Rhinolophus ferrumequinum: one gene and its partner. The protein of the gene in region 2 purifies or fractionates together with the protein of the main gene of each other region. This does not show direct contact. Links are inferred from orthologs where the notes say so. Each region holds a gene or a part of one and is shown on either strand. Other genes may lie near its edges.

Region 1 (7,615 bases), on a different chromosome or scaffold from region 2:
CCAGACAAGACCCTTGGCTGTCCACTCTGAAGGGAAGTGACCAGCCATGGCCTCACCCACCAGCTCCAGTCTGCCAAAATCTACAATCCTGCACGTGGGGCTCCCTTGGACCACGCTGGCTGTCCAGGGTGCAAGCACCCCAAACAGAAAAGCTCCCAGTTCAAAGGCAATGCCCATCACGGCACCCAGAGCCAACTCCGTTTGACACGAAGGGCCCACGTAGGCCTTCCCGATCAGCAGCCCCAGCACCCCACGCTGCCCACTCTGAGGCTCCAGCCCAGCCCCAGTCTGCAGACAGCTGCCACCTGGGCGCTGGCCTAGCCAAGGGCAGAAATGCCACCAAACACGCACACACTTGCACACGCGCACACGCGGCGGCCCCCACCAAGCCCTCATCTTCCCCAGCCCCTCCTCCGCTCGCCGAGACTGACACTCCGAGACTGACACTCCGCTGGAGGGGCGCCCAGAGAAAACCGGGCGGGAGCATCTATTCACAGATTCAGAAAAAAAGTTTGATGCAATAGCTGAATTAATTAGGCCTCCCAAGAATAGCTGAGCCAATGCAGCATTCTGTGTGTGCAATTTAATAAGCCCCTATATCTAAAAGTTACAAATACTTGGGGAGGGGGAGATGCCATGAAAAGTTGGGGAGACTTCAGTGATTGCTTTCGGCGTCTAGTGGCCAGGGAGCTGCCGGCCGGTCACACAGATCCCCTGCCAGGCAAACAACAGAGCCTTTGCTGGGCCCTCCCTGCCTGTCGCCGCGCCCTCCAGCGTTTCAGAGAGAGGGAGAGAAGGAAATGGGCGCGTCCAAAACAAATCACAGGCCACTGGCTACTCCAACTCAGGACCCCGGGTGCCGGCTGACCAGGCCCTGAGCCCGGTGCCCAGTGGCCCTCGCCCGCACCCGGGGAATCTGGATTCGCTCCCGAGCTCCCGGGCAGGCCTAGGGAGGTGCATAGAGCTGGAGGCGCCGAATCTCAGCCCTGACACTGCGCCTAGAAACCCAGGCTAGTTTTTGAGTCTGTCTCCCACGACTCCAAGGCACAAAGAGGCTCCGCTCGCCAAGTCCCGTCTGCCTGGGACCACAGGCAAGAACCCCTCTGTCGGGAACGCTGGGAGCTTCGGGGTGACGGCAGTGCCCTCTGCCCAGACCCGGGCTGGACCCCTCCTCTCGGCCCTGAAGAAGAAGGCCTGGGCCTCCAGCCCGAGCCTGGACGAGACCTAACTTCTCGGGACTTTGAGCAGGAGCAGCCCAGGTCTGCCGCCTGCCCTTCCCCGCCATGGGGCCTATCTGGGCAGTGGCCTCAGGGAGGCTTCTCCACCCACCAGGCGGGGGCCCAGGTCTCCCCGACCCCCCCCCCACACACACACAAGCAGGCATGTCCCAGAGATCGGGCAGGAGGAGAGGCTTCCTCCCAGGCTACTTGGTCATCAATGGACTCTCTGAAGCTACCCTGACAGTGCTTAAAACAAAGCAAACCCCTAAAACGGGAAAAAGGCAGAAGCGCAAGTCCCAGCCTGCACAGACAGTGAGCCCCTGGCCCAGGGGGCCTCCCCAGCGTCTCGGACCCGCCCCTCCCACGCCCGCAGGAGGGGCGGCGGGGACACTCACCCGGGGCACCCGCCGCTTGTACTTGTTGCCGTAGTCGAACTTCTCCTTCACGTCGTCCAGGCAGCGGCCGAGGCGCGCCTGCTCCTCCTTGCCCGTGTAGTCCTGGCTCAGCAGGATGTAGGCCCGCCAGTTGGCCGAGTCGAAGCCCCAGTGGCAGGTCCGGTTCTCAAGGGCTTTGTGCGAGTGCACCACGAACTTGTGCGGCGGGTACATGAGGCGGCAGTCGAGGCACTGGATGCAGGCGGCGCTCGGGCTGCTGTAGAGCTCGGGCACCAGCAGCCCCTTGCACTTGCCGAAGCACTCGTGGTACACGCGCACGCTGCGCTCGCTGAGCTCCAGGCCCAGCGCCAGGCTGGCGGCCAGCTCCTTCTTGCAGGGCGGCGGGTAGGCGCCGCCGTACAGCAGCGCGTTGCACAGGCGCTCCGCGTCCGTCTTGGTGATGAGCCCGCACGAGGGCGCCGAGAAGGGCAGAATGCCCATGACTTTGAGGATCTCCAGCTGGTCGGCCGTGCAGCGCGAGCAGTAGATGTGGAGCTCGTCGCACACCGAGTTGATCTGCTGCAGGGAGAAGTCGCGCAGCACCGAGTTCAGGATCTGCGGCAGGCACAGGCGCTTCTCGCCGCCCACCACGAAGCACGAGATGGTCTCGCCCTCCAGCACGGTCTCGCAGCGCTCGGTGGAGCGGTCGGACGGCATGAAGAAGGGCCCGGGCAACACGGGCGGCGGCGGCTGCAGGGCGGGCAGGTGCGTGAGCACAGGCGGCGGCTCGGTGGCCGCGGGCACAGGCGCCGGCACCGCGGCAGCGCCCGCCTCCTTGGCGCTCTCCTTCTTGTAGGCCTCCTGCGCCCAGCGCGCCGAGAAGGCGGCCGGGCCGCCCAGCGAGCTCATGGAGCTCAGGTGGAACTGCTCCAGCGTCTTCTGCAGCCCCGGGTGCGGCTGGAAGCCGCCGCGGCCTCCCGCCGTCGCCTCCATGGTGCGCTCCGATTCCGCGGGCCTCTCCCGCTCCCGCGCGCCCGGGCCCCCGCGGCCCCCGCCGCCGCCCCTCGCGCCCCGGCGGCGGCCTCGGCCCCGGCCCCGGCCGATCACGGCCGCGGCCTCGGCCTCGCCCGGGGGCGCGAAGGGGAAGGCGGGCGGGGCGAAGGGGTCCCGCCGCTGGAGCCCGCCGGCGCCCGGGCCCGGCGCCACATCCACGCGCCCCGCGCCGCGCCCGCCGCCGCCCGGGCCCCCCGCGCGCCCCCCGCGCGCCCCCCGGGCCCTAGGCGCGGGGCATGCCCCGGCGCGCGCCGCCAACGCCAACGCCAACGCTCGCGGGCCCGGGGCTCGCGGGGGGCGCGCGGGCAGGTGCCGGCGCCGCGAGGCGCGAATCGCCGCGGCGGCCGAGGCCGAGGGGCCCGGGAGGAGCGGGGGCGCGGGCGCGGGGCCCGCCGGGCCGTCCTCGCGCGGCGCGCCGCCGCCGCCCCGCTCCTCCCACCGCGCGGCGCCCGCCCGGCTCGTCCCGGCGGCGCTGGCCAGCCGCGTAGCGCACGCCGCCGGCCGCCCCGGCCCGGCCCGGCCCGCGCCCACCCCGCCGCCCGCGCCGGCTCCGCGGCCCGCCCGCCCCCCGCGCGCGCGGCTTCCGGGGCGGCGGAGCGCCTATGAGGCGGCCCTCAGAGCGCGGCGGCGGCGGCGGCGGCGCGGGGCTCGGCGCACATCCTCCCGGCGGCTCGCTCCGGCTCGGACTGAGCGCCGGGCGCTGAGCTCACGCCACCGCCCCGCCCCGCGCCCCGCCCCGCGCCGCCGCCCCGCCCCGCGCCGCCGTCTGGGACGCGCGTCCGCCCCAGCCAGCGTCGGCCAGGAATGCGACCGCCTCCCGGCCGGCTCTTCCAGGAATGCGCGCTCTCCCCGCCCGCACTCGGGCCTCTCGGCCGTGTTCGGCCGCGCTCGGGCCCAACCGCTAGGAACTCGGGTTCGATCGGAGACGCCCGCCTTAACCTCGACCCCGCTCGGCCCGGCCTCGGCCCCGCTCGGCTCCACTCGGTCCCGACGCCTGGGTCTCGGCCCCGCTCGGCTCCACTCGGCCCCGCCCACCCTGAAGTCGGCCGCGCTCGGCTTTACTCGGCCCCGCCCGCCGGAAGACCGCTCGGCAGGGGCGGCGGCGGCGCCGGAGGCCCCCTTTCCGGCCGAGGCCGCTTCCTGCGCGGCTGGGAGGGCTCTCGCCCCGACGCCGCCGCCGCCGCCGCCGCCGCCGCCGCCGCCTACGGGGCCCGGAAACCCACACGCGGCCCCGCCACAACCTCAGACCAGCTGAGAGGCGGACGGGACGCGACCGCGCAGCCCCACCGCACGCCTCGCGACTGCCGCACGACGGGGACGCCACGCAACACACCCTGAGGTCCCCACGCATGATGGGGATGTCATGTAGCATGACCCAGGTTTCCACACACGACAGGGACGCCACGTAACACATCTGGGGTCCCAAACACGACAGAGATGCCACAAAACACGACCCGGGGTCCACACACGATGGGGACCCCATGCAATAGGACCCAAGTCCCACACGCGAGTGAAATGCCACGCAACACATCCTGCGGTCCCCATACACAACGGGGATAGTGCGCCGTACTACCCAGGGACCCCAGACATGACGGGGAGTCCACACAACACACCCTGGGGCCCCCACGACTAGAACTCCACATAGTATGACCCAAGGTTCCACACAGGACAAGAACGCCCCACAACACACTATGGGTTACTAAACACGTTAGGGTGGCAGCACCTGAGACCCCACACGGACACCATGCAACCTGTCCCAGGACCCCACCTGACGCAGGTGCAGCACACAACCCCCCAGTATGATTGGCAAGCAGCACCCCCCAACCCATGTCCCTGTACCCTGATCCCTGCCACCAGGCCAGCAGGACCGCGACCGGCGGTGTCACATCCCAGCCTGTCCAGTGCAGGAGTGCCAGCTGCATGAGGAGGGCAGGTGGTGGCGGGCAGGTGCTGAGCGCCTGAAGTGACAGCCCGCATCCAAGGAGCTGTGCCCTGTGCCCACCAGCCGGGTTGCTGCCAGGGCCGGACCCACGGTGGGTCCTCAGAAACCCGGCCCCTGGTGCCCCAGGCAGGCTAGTGTGACCCTTACCCTGCAACCTCCCAGGCCAGAGAGCCACTTACACATCTCTAGGCCACCTGGGACGTGGCCCTGTTACCCGTCCTTACACACACGGGCTGGGCTGTGTGTCGTGGGGGACAGACAGAAAGTACCTGGTGGGAGAAGATGGGGTGGCTGGGTGGTCCCCGAGAAGGCAGCCCACAGAGGCCTGGGGTGGGGGTTTGAAATCAGGGGCAGTTCTGGCTGCGTTCAACTCCGAGCAGAGGGACATTCCCGCCGACCTGAGCTGTAGCACCTTTTTCTCCACAGAATGAGGGCACCCAAGCTGGCCTAGACACGGGGACGTGGGGACACCTGCAGTGCTGGGCAGGGGGGATGGGACCACACCCACTTCAGCCTGGGTGACCTTCAGCTTGTCACCTGCTGCTCCTACCTCTCCGGGGGAGGCTGGAACTGGCCCCAAACCAGTGCTCCTGGGGCAAGGCCTGCCCAGGGAGCTGACCCAGCATTTCCGCAGGCCTTGAGGTTCAGGCAGTTGTCTGGAGAGGCAGCTGGGGTGGTCAGGTGACCCCACACCTGCATGGCTGCAGACACAGGCAGGCGTCTTGGGGGGCTGAGATTCAGGGTGCAGAGCTCCATGTTTGAAAACCTGATCACTCCCCACCAAGGATGTGATCCCTTGCCCCACCCTCGACCCCTCCCCTGTGCCCTGGGGAGGCCCCCCCTTTTCAGTACTCTCATGTCTCCAACAATGGGCACCCCCAGCATAAGGCTTCTCTGCACAAACACGAGAAGACTGGGAAAGGGGTGTTAAAAACTGAAGAAGAAGGACTCATTTGTGTTGGGGACTCATTCTCTTGGTCCACATTTGTACCAAAAAGTTTATGTTGCACCTGAGAGTGTCTGTTCCTCCCACGTGGATTTGAATTCCACGCAGCTCAGTGACCTGCAATTGAAAGAAGGCGGTTGGGGCACCGGAGGGCTGGCCGGGAAGGGTTTCCAGCCAGGCACGGAATTCTTCCTGCTCTTTTGGCCAAGTGGGCACTACCCATACCCTCGTGAGCTGAGCAGGCTCCCACACTCCCCTTCCCTCTACACCCTTTGGCTTTGTGGGGCTCCAGGAAGGGGTCCCAGGAAGAGGCTGGCAGGAGACCCACACACTCACAGTGCAGTGGGGTGTGGGGGAGGGGTGAAGGGCCCAGAGATGGGGGGAAGGGCTGGTCTGAAAAACTTCTGCACCTCAATGGATGTTGAGGCCTCATCCTGTAAGATGGAATTTCCGGGAGTAGCCAAGCCCTGCCCACCCACCCAGGACCAGCCAGTCCGTCCTCCCCCCGAGCCTGCTGGGGGAGCTTCCACCTGCTGGCCTAGCTCCCTCCAACCCATCCCAGCAGCTACTCAGGCCAGTGGCCCACTCCTCCCACTGTCCTGCTGCCACGGGCCAGGCACCATGACAGCAGGTAGAGAGGCCAGGGCACAGGCACAGCCGCACTGGGGACTGGGGACTGGGGACAGGCAGGGACCCACTACACCTGGCCCTTGCCCCGCCGGGGAAGGAGTCGAGAGCTCCCCATGTGGCTTCCATCTCCTACCAGGTGACTGAAAAGGCCGGACAACACGGTCAGTGCAGGACTGGGACCCAGCAGGCCCCAAGGAGGCCTCGAGGGGCTGGGGGCTGCCGTGGAGCACGCAGCACTCCAGGACCAGAGATGAGGGTGCTGGAACTGACAGGGCCCCTGGCCTCGAGAGGCGCTCCAAGGTCCACCTGTGAGATGGGCTGGTAGGCTCAGTCAGCAGGCCCCTCTGAGAGACCCTGCCCGAGGCTTGCCCTGGGTGGACCTGTTCTGCCCTCCCAGCTCCCACCTGCCCCTACCCCCTCCTCCTTGGGAAGCAGAAGGGAACAGCTGGTTGCAGCCAGGCACAAACCGCCATTGTCAGGAAAGTGCTAAGATATTGTTTTAAAACTTTAAATTTGAAAATAAAATTACTCAAGTAACATGAGCTTGATAAAAATTTAGAAAAGACTTTTGTCTTAGTTTGGGTTCCACCAGCAGCAGACCCTGAGACAGAGGTGGGTGCAGACGGTTTGCTTGGGAGGCGATCCCAGGACATATAGTTGGGGGCCGGGGGTGAGGGGAGAGAAGCAGGATGAGGGTATTCTGTGCAGCCTGCCACCCTCGGGCTCCTGGAGCTGGATCCTGGGGTGAAGGGTGAGGGGACAGCCCCTGGAGCAGGGAGATTGACCAAATAAGGGAACACATTCTAGGTAAGGAGAGTCCGGTTTCTCACTGTTAGAGACGGGAAGTCAAATGCAGGCAGGGTTAAGTGGCCCATGTGGTGTGGCACCTGCGTGAGCCCATTCATTTCAATATTTAGAAACAAGTAGAAGAGCTGTGCGCGCGGGCATGTTTGTACGAACCTCCCTCCGTATGAGCCGCGGCTCAGTCCAGAGAGAAGCCCCGACGGGAGCAATGCCCCAGCAGCACTGAGCACGCCGAGAACCCGCATCATGGCTTCTAAGTTCCATCTGCACTAGAAGGAACCAGAGGTCTTTAGAGAAATGGCTGGTCCCAGCGCTCCGGCAGGGAGGGTCCACGATGAGTCTGGAACATCTCACTGTGCCAGGACGTGTGGAAGGACTCAAAGCATAACAGGGACACTCCAGAAGGACACTCAGCCTCCCGAAGGTCCCCCCAGGGGAAATCAGAGATGATTATGGTAACCATGGATTAGAAGCACGGAATAAAACGGCACCACGACTCCATGCGGATTCAAATATTTATTAGAATAAATGGATTCGTAAGTTGGAAGTTTGAAAAGGTGGCCTATCTGCATAGTTTTAAATTTCCTCCCACAAGGTTCCCAGGAATCACAAAGGGAAGAAGAGTGAGCTCCCAGGGGAGGTGCTG
Region 2 (7,480 bases):
GCTGCCAAGGTCCTTATCAGCACCCCCAAAGCATGTCTCTCCACTACCGAATGGAAAGCTACTTAAACGCAGACTAGACATCTCTGCATTTCTGTTCAATTTTTTCAGAAATTCAGAGTTCTGTAAACCTTCCGCTCTTTCAGAAAAAAAAAATCAGCATTCCTGGCCAGTTCAGCCTTTCCACTATAAACAAAATCCATGTACCACCCATATCTGAAGTATAACGCCAGACTCCTGCTTAGCTGCCCCTGTAATATGGTTTAATTATGATGACTGAACTAATAGGCTGACATCATAGACTTTTACAGGCTGACCCCATGTCATCCTGATGTATCATTTTGCACCAGTTCAGTGCTGTAAATCAATTTAAGATCTCAAGCAGGTTGAAAAGGCTGGTAATGATGCTTTCTCTGCTGTCTCTGGAGACTCTACATTATACACAACTTACATTATTTATAAAGCCTCAATGATGCCTCCATTAGCCTTGTAAGACTACACAAATGAGATCTTTTATACACACACAACTTGGCCTTGATTATGTAGGCGACTGCAGTTTAAATATACTCGTCTAATTACACTCAAGTTTATTCTTTTTGTTCAAGTTTATTCTTTTTCCAATCTAACCAAGTTACTATGTTTTATCTTTAATCCAGAATTATTAGAAATCACAATTACAGTCTGAAATTTAGTTTTTAACTAACAAATATATTTAGGAAAATGAGACTTACTTCCTCTTAATACTTTAATGAACTCAGTAGAAAGGAATTAATTATTAAACTCCAAGAGGTGGAAGAGCTTAAAAATTTTAATTGCCTAAAGAGTGCCATTCCTCCAAAATGCAAAGGTCCTCAGCTCTTCAAGGGTATAAAATCAAAGGGTACTGAAAATAGGAAAAATGGATTTGGTTACACACCTATGGTTGGAGGGATCAAAACTAAATCAAGGACAAATCCCTACCCTTAGAAGAAACCCGATACCACCTGGATCCTCCAAAGGCTCTAGCATCACCCACCTCTAGAAAATCATCTCTCAGGACCCTGGTTACAGTTTCCTAAAAATTGCAGTGTTACACAAATGTACACCACCTGCACAGAAATATCAAATAACTGCAAAGGGGAAAGAAAGAGGGCGGGAGAGGGGAGAACAAACACTTTCACCAGTATTGCCTATTAGGCCAGGTACCTCCATCAGAATAACACTGACGCAGAATATTTATATGAATTGAAAATGCTGGGGCGGTGAACACTGCCTCTACCTCCATTCTTTTTCAACAGTTCCAGTACAGCTCACCCACCTCCAATAAAATGTAAAGTGGTAATTATCAGCAAGGTGAAAAATCAACATGGGCAGAGAACAGTTTTCTCATTACTGAACGTGGGCATGTTATCCACGGCAGGCAGTTAGAGCAAGAAATGTTCGGAAATAAAGGCATTCTGTGATTTAGGTGCTGAGAGTGTCAGTCACAGGAAAGACACACCGAAATCATGCAACTTCTGTATCAATTTCCCCTACTTTGCAACTTCAGATACAATGGAAAGAGAACATTGGGAGGAAGAAAAAGGCCAGTTGTCAACAGCACTCACGAAAACGATGCTTTCTCAGGAGATGGTTCTGAGCCGCGCCTCATTTTCAGAAGGGAAGCCTTCGCCTTCCTGGAGATCTCGCACAGTGTATTTAAAAATCGTAAGCGCCTCAAAATAAACAAAAGCCGCACCACTGTAGTTGTGAGATCCGGCGGGCGTCTGTCCTTCCTCACTTCCTAAGTACAGTAGGGAAACGCTCTCCCTTTAAGCCTTCATATGTATTTGGCAACTAGAAAAACAAGCCCACGTCTCTCTCTGCTCTCACACCCACCACCCCCACCTTCTACAGAAACAACCCCGAGAAACCCTCACAAAGCCAGGGAGCAAAGTAAAAGAACAGTTGTTCAACAGCGAACTCACAAATACACATGCAGTGAGGCAATCGAATCCGGTCAAGGGAAAGGAATGAGACGACACTTGGAGACGCAGGCGGGTGTAGGCGGAAGAGGAAAAAAAAAAAATTACGCGCCGCCGCCAAACCTTTGAATAAATTAGAGGGAATTTCGGTGCGAACTTCCCTTGACCTCGACCCCCAAGAGGGTCGTTGGGGCAGAGAAGGGAACCTGTCTGGGACGCGGAGGGACCCAGGGCACCGGGTGTCCCCTTCCTGCGAGACCGGCTCCCCGAGGCGCCGAGTGCTTAAAGGGCAGCGCCGGCGGCCGCCCTCCAACTCCCGCAAGGGTGCCCGGGCCGGCGCGGGACACAATGGGCCCGCCGGCCGCGCGGACGGGCCTGGGCCCGGCTGCAGGAAAGGAAAGGGAAACAGAGAGCGGGCGGAGGGGGAGGGTGGCCCGGAGGTCCCGCAGGTCCCGCCGCGGGCAGGGCCGGGGGCGAGGCTCCAGCGAAGGAACGCGGCTTCCCCACCGCAGACCCAACAAAGACGCAAGGGGAATCCCGGCCGAGCCCGGGGCGGCCGGTGGGGGCGAGAGAAGAAGGTGGCAGGTTCGCTCCTCAGAGCGACTGGGAGACGCCATCATGGGGGAGGGGGGGTCCCCGTTCCGACCCACGCGGGGAAGAGCCGCCTCCCCGCCGCGGCCCGCGCCGGGCCCTGCCGATCGCGGCCGCCCTGCGGGCCCGCGCCCGTCCCATCTGAGGCAGCGGCGGCGCTGGAAAGTCCAGGGTGCCGACAGGCGGGCGGGGACGCGGCAGAGGGGAAAGTTGGGATCGGGTATGTTTCGTTTTACCGGGTTGGCGACGCGCCCGTCCGCGCGGGCGCACGAGTGGCCGGACGAGCGGGGTCCCGCGGCCCCGGTCCGGCCGGCCAGGCGCTGCGCTCGCAGGGTCCCTCCCCGCGCCTCGGCCCGGGCTGAGCCGCTCGGCCTCTCCTTCCTCCTCCCGCCCGCCCTCTCGCTCCCGGAGCCTGGATTGATCTGGTCGTGCTGGCGTCAGGGAGTCGGAGCCGCCCAGCCTCCACTCCTCCGCTGCCAATACCCAGCGCACTCGCCCGCCCGCCCGCTCGTTTGCTCACACGCGCACCCGCGCGCCGCCGCCGCCGCCGCCGCCGCCGCGCGACCAGGGATCCTCTCCAAATTCCCCGCCCCGCCGGCGCGAGCGCGGCGCAGGGAGGCCAGAGGACCGCGAGGGGAGCGGCCCCAGCCCCCGGCCCCCTTGATTCCAGCAGGGAAAACAACGCGCATTCTTGCCTCCCCCTGCCTCCTTTCGTCCGGGTGAGCGGACTTGGTGCATTATCTGCAAGTGAAGTTCTGTGTTCAGCGTTTATTTTCTGAAATGTTCATTTACACGTCCACCGCGCCCACCGGAACGTTCTATTAATGTGGAGTACATGTTTGACAATTATCGTTTCAGACTCGCTTTTTGTGTCTAGTTTTCATTGCCCCTCACTTACTCCCCAATGATTTGCAAGCCTCGGAAGTTGCACGTACTCAGAATTGGATAGCCTGTGAACCAATACATGCGTGAGAATCAATTGCATGTGAATCAATACATGCGTTTCGTGCCTAATGGTTCGAGTAGGTAACCTCATTGCTCCAAATAATGACAGATGCCACAATAGCACTCTAAATTTTTGACCCAGTTTCTACAATCTTTTAGATGATACCCCTCCCCCCAATTAAAACAGACTAGCTCTCATCTACCTGATCTGCACAGACATTGAAAATACCTTTTTGTAAGAATTAATTTTTCTATTAACCAGCTCTCTGGAAGCTGGCATGAAATCTTGGATAATTACCATAACGTTATGTTTAGAGATGAATCCTGAGGAATAAATTTTACATGAACCACAAGTATCATTACCACCAAAATAAAATGTCAAAGACCTCTGTAAATTAATGGTACTTCTAGTTGTTCACATACGTTTACATGTACACATTCCATTTAAAATTCTTAACTATTTTACTATTTCTGCATTCCATGTTTAATTATCCAAAGAAAATGTAACAAACCCCACAAAACACAAAATAACAGTTTATAAATTATAGATCAGAATGTTTCTGCTAATTTCTTTGTTAAACTATTTGAGCACTTACTGGTCAATTCTTGGGCCTCATCTTATTTTTCCTAAAAGCAGCATTTGACACAGTTCATCATTCTCTGCTCCTTGGAACAACAGCTGGAGTGAGCCTTGTTAAATGCCACTTAGATCAGGTCCTTCTGTTCAAAACCCTTGATAAATAGAATGTGCTATCTCCATCCAATGGAACATTATTCAGTCATAAAAAGGAATGACACATGCTACATGGATAAACCTTGAGAACATTGTTAAGTGAAAGAAGTTAGGCACAGAAGACCACAAATTGTATACTTCTACCTACTGTATATAAAATATCTAGAATAGGCAAATAATCTACAGAGACAGAAAGTAGAATGGTGGTTGCCTATGTTTGGGGGAATGGAGGAGGTTAGATGGTGATAGCTAAAGGTTATGGGGTTTCTTTTGGGAGCTAACAAAATGTTCTAAAACTAGTTTGTGGTGATGGTTGCACAATTCTGTGGATGTACTAAAAATCATTGAATAATATACTTGAAATGGGTGAATTACATGGTATGTGAATTTTAGTTCAATAAAGCTATTTTTTTTAAAAGGAATGACAAATAAATGCAGTGTATGATCCTTGACTGGATCCTGGGTTAGGGACAAAAGCTATAAAATGACATTATAAAACTGTTAATTTGTTTAGCCAATGGATGACCTTTCTTAGTGAAATCCTACTAGCCCCAAATAGTAATTATTGATACTACACAATCTATGAAATTTGATTTTGCCCCTTGTGCAACTTATTTTTGTAAACAGGGATAGAAAATTGTATTTTAAAATAAAAGGACACTGCCATGGCCAAGCATTTGGTATTCAATGCCAAGAAGTAGAAAAATAAAGAATAAAAAAAAAGGATATTATTGGAACAATTATGAAAACTTGAATATGGGTTGTATACTAATATAGTATCAAAACAACAAAATCTTCCCTTGGCTTCCCATTTCACTCAAAGTAAAAGTTCTCACAATGTGTACAAGACTGTACATGATTTTTCCTCCCCGCCCTTCTCTACCACTCTACCCTGGTCTCCTATTCTCTACCTCGCTCACTTCCTCAAGTCACTCTGGCCTCCTTACAAGTCCTGGAACAACCTGGGCACACTGCTATGTCAGGACCTTTGCACTAACTGTTTCCTCTCTGGAAAGCCGGTACCACAGATGTCTACATGGGCCACTCCCTCAGCTCCCTCACGTCTTCACTCAAGGTTTCCTCTTGCAATGAAGTCTACCCTGGCCACTTTATTTAAAATTTCACACACACACACACACACACACACACACACACACACACACACACTGCATACCCCTCCCATTTTATATTCTCTTTCCCTGTTTGGCATGGATGGTTTACTTATCAGGACCTAACCTCTTACTTAGTCAAAAGCAATGTTCTGTTTATTACTATACTTTCAATGCCTGATAGGAGCTCATTAAATACCTGTTGAATGAACGAATCAAGTATTGTTCAAGTCACAGGAGATATGGTGGCAAAACAGAGAAAACTCCCTACTCTCATCAAGGAAGACAAATAATGAATACATACGGGCATGCAACACAGAAGGACACTTCAATCATCAACAGACCACATATATATACAATGGTGGTCCTATAAGATTATAATGGAGCTGAAAAATTCCTATTGTGATGTCATAGCACAAGGCATTGCCATGTGTTTGTGGTGACGCTGGTATACACAAGCCTGCTGTGCTGCCAGTCCTATAAAAGTATAGCGCATACAATCATGTACAGTCCATGAGAATTGATGATAATAAACGACTATGTAACTGGTTTATGGATTTACTATGATAGACTTTATCATTACTTTAGAGTGTTCTCTTTCTACTTATAAAAAAATAAAAAGTTTCCTAAATGCCAGGTTAGCAGCAGCCTCATACAGCTCATGCTTATCGAGTTTCTTGATTGCATCATTTTCTCTTGTGCTTGATTTAATCTCGTGTTGTTTCATACACTAATGTGCTGTCCAGGCTTGTAGCCTAGGAGCAATAGGCCAGATCACATGACCTAGTGTGTAGTAGGCTACACCATCTAGGTTCCTGTACGTACATTCTGTGATATGTTCATACAACAATAAAATAGCCCAAGAATGTATTTCTCAGTATTCAGATCGTTAAGCGGCCCTTGACTGTATATGAATATGCTAGGTGGTCATACATGGGATGGAAGCAGCAAGATTAGAGGGGTTGGGAATAGGGAGGTTGATATTTCTATAGGGAAAAGCTCACTGACAAGAGGTCCTGAAGGAAGAGGCAGCATGCCACATGACCTGGGAGGAGGTTTTCCAACCTCCCAAGCAGAGGTAAGAGAAGGGCAAAGACCCTGGAGCTGAGTCTCTTTCCCCCATTCACAGAAGAGCCACAAAGAGCCAGCCACAGGAGGGGAGGCGGAGTGTGTGGGCCCAAGTGCTCGTGGGCTAGTGGCTGTGGAGGTGGAAACACAGGAACCTTCTTTTCTGTCTGTTTCTCTTATCTTGGTGGGATAGCCATGCACCCTTTTTCCTGAGAATGGTGAGCGTGGAAGAGATGTTGGAGGATGTTTTTCCTGAGAATGGTGAGCGTGGAAGAGAGGAGCCGATATGCAGCACTGATATTCTGGGAGAGTTTGAGAGCAAATGAACATTGGAAATGTGGTGAGATTGCCAGGCAGAGCTCCTAACTGCCTCTTTGAGGTTAGTGGTCATGAATTTAAAGCAAGGCCAGTCAGCATGGCTGTGGATTCTTCTCCAGCCTCCTCAGCCATACGGGGCAGAGCTGGGTTTAACCAGGGCTGCAGTTGTACAGGTGGGTGTGATGGAGGGAGGGTATCTGAGAACAGAGGGTGTTAGCAAGGGTGTGACTATGCGGAACTGTGAGAAGGAGGGCCGAGAGGATACAAAGGAGTGGGGGCAAAGGGAGAGGTGAGAGGATTATAGATTGAAGGTCTCAGTGGGGTCCAAGAATTGCTGGAGTTAGGAACCACTCCCAACACCTGGGGAACAGCCTGAGAACAGGATGCTTGAAATTGAAATCACAGAGCTGGGACAGTTTGGGGTAATGCCAAGATCTAGTGTTGTGACCAGAGACAGCTGAGGCAGGTAGAGGACAGGATCCTGGATCCCAAGGTCCCTCCAAGTATGACTCTGACACACATTTTTGCCTGGTCTCCTTCACACTCCAACACACACGCTGGCAAATTTGCAACGATATTCCTCTATTTTATTTAAATATCATATCCTTTGTTCATACTTGGATATGATATTCCTCCTTTTTCATATTTAAAAGGCATTTAAACATGATATCCTTCGTTCATCCTTGGTATATGATCCTGGCTCCTCCAATTTTCAAAATTCTACCTATTCTTTAAGGCCTGACATCATCTTCTAGATATTAAGCAAACAAACAAAA

Evidence for each region. Proteins that work in one complex are often made in the same cells at the same time.
Region 1: the proteins of SMAD1 (region 2) and SKI purify together in Homo sapiens (affinity purification with western blotting, with the first as the bait; 3 studies listed by BioGRID). This does not show direct contact. The link is inferred for Rhinolophus ferrumequinum from reciprocal best matches to the Homo sapiens genes SMAD1 and SKI.

Annotation. Positions count from the first base shown.
Region 1 is NC_046292.1:1,024,975-1,032,589, reverse strand, and holds the start of SKI (ski oncogene), read right to left. Parts: upstream 3,012-7,615; 5' UTR 2,588-3,011; coding exon 1,616-2,587; intron 1-1,615. UniProt on the Homo sapiens protein: May play a role in terminal differentiation of skeletal muscle cells but not in the determination of cells to the myogenic lineage. Functions as a repressor of TGF-beta signaling.
Region 2 is NC_046301.1:18,788,636-18,796,115, reverse strand, and holds the start of SMAD1 (mothers against decapentaplegic homolog 1), read right to left. Parts: upstream 3,017-7,480; 5' UTR 2,768-3,016; intron 2,440-2,767; exon of another isoform or gene 1,584-2,439; intron 1-1,583. UniProt on the Homo sapiens protein: Transcriptional modulator that plays a role in various cellular processes, including embryonic development, cell differentiation, and tissue homeostasis.